Solanum lycopersicum: one gene and its partner. Each later gene encodes a partner of the first gene's protein in a complex. Links are inferred from orthologs where the notes say so. Each region holds a gene or a part of one and is shown on either strand. Other genes may lie near its edges. The genes, in order: eukaryotic translation initiation factor 3 subunit E and eukaryotic translation initiation factor 3 subunit K.

Evidence for each region.
Region 2: eukaryotic translation initiation factor 3 subunit E (region 1) and eukaryotic translation initiation factor 3 subunit K share a complex: the UniProt entries of both Arabidopsis thaliana proteins name them as parts of the eukaryotic translation initiation factor 3 (eIF-3) complex. The link is inferred for Solanum lycopersicum from reciprocal best matches to the Arabidopsis thaliana genes EIF3E and EIF3K.

The regions. Positions count from the first base shown.
Region 1 is NC_090809.1:60,505,813-60,510,062, forward strand, and holds the start of eukaryotic translation initiation factor 3 subunit E, read right to left. Parts: upstream 2,812-4,250; 5' UTR 2,662-2,811; coding exon 2,451-2,661; intron 1,399-2,450; coding exon 1,244-1,398; intron 1,073-1,243; coding exon 845-1,072; intron 714-844; coding exon 592-713; intron 134-591; coding exon 1-133. Other genes in the region: calcium-binding protein CBP, read right to left, coding at 4,147-4,250. UniProt on the Arabidopsis thaliana protein: Component of the eukaryotic translation initiation factor 3 (eIF-3) complex, which is involved in protein synthesis of a specialized repertoire of mRNAs and, together with other initiation factors, stimulates binding of mRNA and methionyl-tRNAi to the 40S ribosome.
Region 2 is NC_090806.1:58,133,180-58,137,458, reverse strand, and holds the start of eukaryotic translation initiation factor 3 subunit K, read right to left. Parts: upstream 2,901-4,279; 5' UTR 2,600-2,900; coding exon 2,471-2,599; intron 2,339-2,470; coding exon 2,282-2,338; intron 2,196-2,281; coding exon 2,145-2,195; intron 2,056-2,144; coding exon 1,993-2,055; intron 783-1,992; coding exon 732-782; intron 656-731; coding exon 589-655; intron 1-588. UniProt on the Arabidopsis thaliana protein: Component of the eukaryotic translation initiation factor 3 (eIF-3) complex, which is involved in protein synthesis of a specialized repertoire of mRNAs and, together with other initiation factors, stimulates binding of mRNA and methionyl-tRNAi to the 40S ribosome.

The DNA of each region.
Region 1 (4,250 bases):
ACAAGAGTGTTGCTCCTGCTGAATAACCTTTATAAAGTCCTTAAATTGAGGTCTTCTTCTTTTGTTGACAATAAATGCAATAGCCAAGTACCGCAGCAAGTGGGGAGCACTTGTTTGAATGGCATTCAAGTATCTGCAAGACTTCAATGATTTAGAAAAGCTCAAAGGGAAGATGTAAATCCATAGAATACCAACAAAAGGAAAAATAACAGCTACTTTAATCGAGACATATCAAGAAGAATACTGTCTTAATGTATGTTACCACAAAAGAAGAGCAATATTTATTTCAAACATTTTGGAATAAGAAAACTATATTTCAAACATAATTCTGCTGTATGCAAATAAGAAATACAGTGTGTTCCTGACCCTCCAGATCATGTTTCATTCTAATTCATCTAGTTTTCTCCATTTTCCCACTAAGGGAAAGAACTAGGTAATCGGAGCTTCCTAAAATATTTCTCTACATCATACTCGGTAGGTGATAGTATCAGAAAAAATGCCTAGCTCAAACAGGATGGGGAAATCTAAAATGAAGCAGCAAATGAAAACAATCATCTATAAGCAATAGCAACTAAAGTACAGTTGGCATACTTGTCCTGGTTAAACAGGTCAATGATCAGTGTCCTGCCATTGTCATGGTTGAAGAAGATGAATAGACTCCAATGCATTAGCCATATTCTATTCTGAACTTGATTCAACGGAGTAGAGAAACTCTGCAAGACAAGCGACACTTTTAGTACACTTGGTAAACTGAGGATCATTCAGTTTTTTCCTACAGGATACTCAACTTGGTAAGACTAACTCAAACAGACAGATTGTTGACTCAATATATGCAAAATATTACCTTTGAGTCGATAATTTCTTTCAAGCGGTTGAGTTCCTCGAGTGCAATATCCCAATTCTGCATTAGTATCTCCGCTGCAAGCTTTCCCCACAATGCACTGACGCTCCTGTCACTGTTTGTGCACAATGCTCGGTACTGGTAAAGATAATCAGCAGCACCAGAATAGTTTCCACATTCAAACTGAAATTTGGCATATTGATACAATGCCTCTATCTGGTCCGGACCAATCTGGACAGGTTTGTAAGAGCATTACTAAAATAAAAAATGTATATTCACAAAATTAGCTAGAGACCAACTTCTGTTTGTGATCCCTTTAACAAGTATATTATTAATTATACAACATTAAGTACTAAAGAAGAAGGAACTCTATATCATGTAAATCAAACTAGATCTATGCACCTGGTACCGCTCCTGGAGCAACTGAAGATTGTGCTGTTTGTCAGCTCTCAACTCCTGCACAGCACTGGAATTCTGCAAAAAAGTGATCAATGGGGCTGCAGCTTCCTCAAGTGCTTTCAACCTTGCCACAACCTCGGCTCTCCTCTCCATCATTTCTGAACAATCAAACGGCAATTATAAAGACAGTGCAGAATTTAAACATGTAAAGGAACTCCCAAAATCACTTCTGCTCAAACTAAACTTTTTTAATAACAGAGGAATCCCTGAGGGCAAGTCGCAAATGGTTAGACTCTGTACCGACACGTATGTGTACCAACAGTTTATCTTATCTAAGTACACCAAGAAGGTTTTAATCTACATACATTGCATGCATTTACTGTAAAGCTCAAACAGAAAATCCAGACAACAACGTCAAAATTGCCTCCCATATCAAATCTCTATCTGATCACAACTATACAGATTCCTCAAGGGACAACTCCAAAGAAAACCTACGGAGACTGCCCCAACAGAATTACAATACCCCCACAAGAAAACAACTTCTATGCTAAAAAGGGCACTGCTAAGTCACCAGATTTTTTTACTCTTATACATCAACTATACAGATTATCCCCTTCGAATAAATTTTAAACAACTTCTACAGACCAGAACCATCAAAATTACAACTACCACCATATCACCACCCCAAAAAAGAACACCTTTTGTTAAAAGTGCAAAAGCATTAAGTGAAGCAACAAATAAATAAGCATTCACCAATACGTGGACCAATATGTAAACATACACCAATATGAAGGGAAACAGGAGACACCTGAAGGACAACTTCTACAACTTCTATAGAGACCATATCCATTAAAACTAACAACCCCACACCACACACGAAAACCTTCATGCTGAAAAGGGCACAAGGTATTTCGATCAGTAAGGGCACAAATCAACGGGCATTCATACCAAAGGGAAAGAAAGAGAAACCTTGACGTACAACCCCACCCCACACAACACACAAATCAATGCGTATTCACTACTACAAAGGGGGGAAAGAGATAACCTTGAGGAACAGCACATAGACAACTTGTATAAACAATATCCATAAAATTCACAACCCCACCCCCCCAAAAAAAAACCCCTTTTGCTAAAAAAAAAAAGCACAAGTATTAAGATTAATAAACAAAAAAATCAATTGGAAACACGAAGCGAAAAAATTAAATGATACCTTGAGGCACATCGTCAGTATGATAGAGAGACTTATGAATATCCATAGCATAATCAACCATGTTAGTGTGATTAAGCAGCTCAATCTTCGCCTTGAGTATATATTCATCTGGGTATAATCCCTGCTCTTGCAAAAACTCCAGTAACGGGAAAATCAAGTGAATGTCCAATTGCTGCGCTACACGTGGCGTCAAATCGTACTTCGACGCCATGATTGCTACTGTCGGTAAGAGATAGCAACCACAAAACTCGCCGCCGTGCAGAACCAGAGAAACTGAAAAGATGAGAAGTGGATCGGTAGAAGAAAGATTTCTAGGGTTTCGTCTTTTTTGCTGTAAGGAATAAATAATGTTGAAACTCCCCCTTGGGTTTTAAATATTGTTACCTTTAACCCCATCTTCAATACAACTACTTTTTCTTTTTCTTTTTTTTTTGTTTTGGTTTTGATTTTTACGATAGAAAATAATTTGTTTGATTGAATTTTTAAAAAAATCCAAAAGTGTTGATTTCTAAAAACAATAAGGTAAAAGTATTATCATAATAATATTGTTAAATATTACGCTAACTATTATCAATAATTATTAATTTTTATAATCGATCCACTATCGAACGATGACCATCAAATTATTTCTACTATCGAATAATCTTAGTATCTCTAATTGCAACCTCCTTCAACCATTATTTATTATACTATGTCACTAACCATCTTCAATAACAATATACGTCATTTTTTTACTAATATCGTCAATTATTACCTTCATTTTTAACAATTATAATCAATCACTTATAGTCATCACTTCACGATTATCATTACTAACTATCACCATCTTTGTTTGACCCTGTGAACGTGCTTCATCAAAACAATTTCACTCGAATATGTTAATTTTATAATATTCGATTATCATTTTTTGAACTCTATATACTACTCCTAGGAGTAGTTTTAAAATAAAGATGAGTTCCATATATTCACATGCTATAGTAAAAAGAATAAACAACTTATCTTAAATTATTTTTTTGGGCAACTGAATGCATTTTATTACCAAAGTGGCAAAATATGGCTAAAAAAAACACCAGAGCATATTCCAACTAATGATCGTTATATGTTCCTAAAGTCTTTAACGATATTAATTTTAATGACACTTATCTAATGCCCATGTGACTTTAACACTCTTTATTAATGTCAATATTTTATCCCGCTAAAAATTATTTTCATTAAAGATCACTATGCATAAATTTGATAAGAGGTCTAATAGTATTATCATTCTTGTCGTTCTTGTTTTTAATTCATAGGGCTACATTATTCTGAAAAGTCTTGTAATTCAATACCAAATAAACTCCATATGAATAAAGCACAACCCTTTATTAACCTTAAAATAAAGATAAAAGTAGACTTTTGGGCTCCTTGAAATAGATTTGTTTATATTTTATTTTCTAAAATAAGCCGAACCAAATACTCTTTAAAGTAGTCATGATCGAATAGTAAACACATCAAAAGAAACACAAAGGATTTAGTTTTGATAGCCCATTAACTGCTCTACAACACACTAGACTTCTACAAGCAAGTAATTCAACTTCACCCTGGAAACTGTTTACAAAAACTAACAGAAGCAAACATCTCTCTACTGAAAACAAACGAAAACGAAGCTGGTAAATCATAGTAAGACCACCCGTAATTGTGAAATTCATATGCCTCGTCTCTAAGCAATCAGGAAAGGCAAAACTGTTAGCATGAACGACTCATAAGTGAACGTAGCAGAGCCAGAATATGAAGTATCCTTCTCCTTGAACTTCTCAGTTAGCC
Region 2 (4,279 bases), on another chromosome or scaffold:
GCCAAGCAAGTCCAGAAAAATGTAATTCTTTTTAAAAGAAATAGGTTCTCTCATTGTATCAAAACTGCTATTGCACATTGTGGGCAAGGGGAGGATTAACACTATATGGAGATAATATCCAGATCATGTGGTTAATATGAGGGGTTATAAATATTATACGCTGTACTTCATTCATTTTGGGCAAGGAGAGGATCAAGTATATGGAGATAATACCTAGATTATGTGGTTAATATGAGGGGTTTAGAATGTTATATTCTGTGCTTCATTCATTTTGTTGTAAATAGGTGGGGCCAAGTGTAATTGTCAACAAGAAACACTCTAGGAATTTTTTTTGGGTAGTCAAAAACTCAAGAATATTGATGGGTTATATCTGAAACAAAATTTTTACTACTAATAGTTGGAATAAATAGGGTCAAGGAAATGATTTGAAACTCAATCACTTCATAAAATGTCTCTCTCTCCACAGTTTTAAGCATGTTGCCGCAAAATCTGACACTTATTACGTATAACAAATAGGTTTCTTATTGCATCCGTATTGCTACTATTGAACACTGTGGATGAGGGGTGGATTAAAGCATTCAGTAATACCAGAAACAGCTTCCACAATGTGGCGGCTCTTTGCAGCTTCATCCCAAAATTGGCGGAACCTTGCAGTCTGCAAAAAGATGTGTGTACTTGTTGGGTTAACTACAGAGTTGGAAGAAACTTTCAGCAAACACAACATGGCATACCTCTAAGAAGTGTGACAGAACATTTAGTGTCTTGAATTGCTCTTCAATTTGCTGAGGAATGAAATGAGAAAATCATTATGAAGAAAAAAGGATAGGGCAATGCATCTAACACAGTTGAAGATTCATATGTAGATGTCAAAGCATGCATTCTGCCTTGCTCCCAAAAAAATCACCACAATGACCACAACCCCAGTGAAACAGTAAAGAAAATTAAGGCGAAAAGTGTTTGCAAAGTTGAGCAACAATAAATAGATGTCTATGGGGGTTGCAGCAAAAAGAGTGTACATGAAAGTGCCCCTCAAAAGGAAATGAAGAACTTCTAGGAAACAACCTTAACTGTTCCTCAATCCCAATCTTGTTTGGGCCAGCTATGTATATCCTCACCCTCCTCAATATCCCTTTGGATGAATTTAATTAACAAATAGGAAACTATACTAGCTAAGAAATTTAAGAACACCAATACAAGAAAATGGAGAACTTACGGGGAAACAACCTCTCTACCCCACAAAAGTGGGGGGTAAGGTTGTGTACATCATAGGATGCATTTCATTAACAAATATGAAACTATACTAGCTAAGAAATTAAAGAATACCAACATAAGGAAATGAAGAACTTCTGGGAAACAACCTCTCTACCCCACAAAGGTAGGGGTAAGGGTTTGTGTACATCCTACCCTCCCCAGACCCCACTTGTGGAACTACACTGGGGTATGTTGTTGTTGCTCAGTTTTACAACCTTTATGTTGCAGATATCGGTTTATATATAGAGCAACACCAAATATCGTACATCACTATGTATCTATTTATTTGTTTCAGACTTTCCTGTTTATCTAATTTCCTCAAAACTTAGCACGAGGACATTTCTGAACCAACAAAGCAACCTTCCCAAACTGCCAGCTATAAAATAAAATGATGTACCTCCAATCTAGTTGGATACACAGCAGGAGATGACAAATGAGTATTCAAAAATTTAGAAATATAGGAAGATCTTTTGGGGTATTTTTATAGTAGAATTATGTCATCTGATCAACTGCCTTCCTTTTTCATTTTACACAAGCCATGAAACAACTGTCAAGCTGTGTTAGGCATGACTGAGAATAGCTAATATTCCTGGTCACAAATAGGGGTAGTAACAAATCTACCTACATCTTTGGCTGTGACAGTTTTTATGTTTTCCAGCAGAGTACACAAGACTAGCAAAATTTACAATTCATATTCATCAAAGGTAAAGTCATAATCAAGGCAGCTTCAGAGATATATACCACTCGTTCGGGGATTAGGAAGAGACACAGGCTGTAATCTGGAGCTGGCATTGCCATTAAGGCCTATCAATACAACCAAGCAAATAATAAGTTAGATAATAACAGAGGCAACAAGTAATATCACAGTATGCAAAACAAGAACTTGATTGCACCTTAACCAAAATACGAGCAACAATTGGTGTACTCATTCTGTCCGGCTCAAACTGCACACATCCAAACAAATAAAAAAAAAACAAAATCAAACAACAAACAAACCTCCATGATTAATTCTCAAAATAACGATATAAACCTGATAAAGACGGAGCAGGCAAAGGTTTGCATCCAGATTGTATGTTTGAGACAAAACCTAAATTAACATTGGGATTACTCAATCAATAACAACGGAAAATTCAGCAGAAACAAAAATCTGAAAAGGGGTTGGCAACCCATTACAAAAAGATTAATTTTTGGAGTGATGAACGATGGTGAATTGGTGTACCTGTTCGTTGACATAGTTTTCAAGATCAGGGAGGATATCTGGATTGTAAGGGTTAACGGCAATGAGCTGTTCTACAGTGATAGCCAACTGTGACTTCTCGGAACCACCATTAGTCGCCTCTTGAACCATTTTGTAAACTGTATCTGACTGCTTTCGAACAAATTGGAAGGTGAAGAGAGGAGCCAAAAGGGGTTGCACTTGCAGTACAGCTGAACGGAGGTTTTAGGGTTAAGAGGGCGAGAGTAAGAGATACGGGAGGGATTATTTGTTTGTGACGGATATACCCTTCAAATTTCTCTCAATCCTTGAATATGATTTGAAATTAGATTGATTTAAATTGAAATTTTTTTCTGACATTATTATATTTCATAAGTGAAATTGTTCGCTCTTCGCATAATTATATGTTCATATAATAATTTAATGAACAATCTTGTTTTAATTGAGTATTAAAAATATTTATATTTTTATGTTAGTGCGGGATATATATAAAAGAATATTATTATTTTCATCTTTTTAAGTACAAATATTCATACATATATAGTAAGATAAAATGTTTATTGTGATAAAGCAAATGAATAAGAGGTCATATCTTAAAATAATAATATTTTATGCTACATCAAAATATTTTTTATATTTGAATATTATTTATATTTTTTATGGGATCACTTGATTTTTTTATCGGATGTCCTCGTAGGGACGAGATTACCTGATTCTATATACAAATTCTAACTTCGTAAAAAAATAAATGAATTTCTTCATTGTATCTTTATTATTAAAATTATTTATAATAATTTTTAAAACATTAATTAAATATTGTGAAATAAAACATAAGAAGTTATGAAAAATATTGAAGAGTGGAAATTAGAAGCAAGATGAAAAAATATGAGTTATAAATAATATAAATAAGTAATATATTATTAATTATGCATTGATTTTATTTGTAAAAGTAAATTAATAAATATGAAAAATAGAGAAGATAAAAACGAACAAAAAAAAATGATTGGTGCCTATAAGAGATAAATATAATAAATATCTAGTATTGTACCACGTTAACATTGCTTGGTGACAAACAATATAACTTAAGGAAATTGATAATCTAATTCCTTTAGAAAAAGGCCAGAGGAAAGAAATGACGAAAGCCACTGAAATTGGAGTTTACCAAGAATCTTGAACAAATTATTGAGCACAAGACTACTTAAATACAAGCTTGATGTCACACTACTATATATAAGGTTCACAATATTTACAATAGACACAAACATGTCGTGCAGATGCACTGATTCAAAAGTTGTTGCAGTAGTAGTGATAATAAAACCCAAAAAGTCAAAGAGTGTTAGGAGTTTTTAGTTACAAGATGATGGTATCTTAGTCTAGAACAACATGGTACAATTGGAATCCACGCAAGCTTATCCAGTCACAACATTTATGAAATTGCAAGATGTCAAAGTACCTAAAAATAAATGATAGAGATATTGGCAAGAAAGTAAGAGAGATACTACAACAAACAACTGAGACATAATATACTACATTAATTTCACAAATTTACAGCCAAAGGCGATAGTTTTATGGTGAAGTTATGTTAATAATAAATATTTACTTAGACAAAGTGTAACACAACATATCTAATTAAATGTGCCATATCAACTTAACGTAAAATCTAAATCCCTGAGGCATCCAAAAAAGTTAAAAGATTGAGTACCATCTCCGTTACTTTTGTATCCCCAACTTCTTATAACAAGATCTTCATACTAACTGAGTTTGTGCAGATTGAGAATCCCAAAAGTTATGATTTTATAGTAACCAAATATA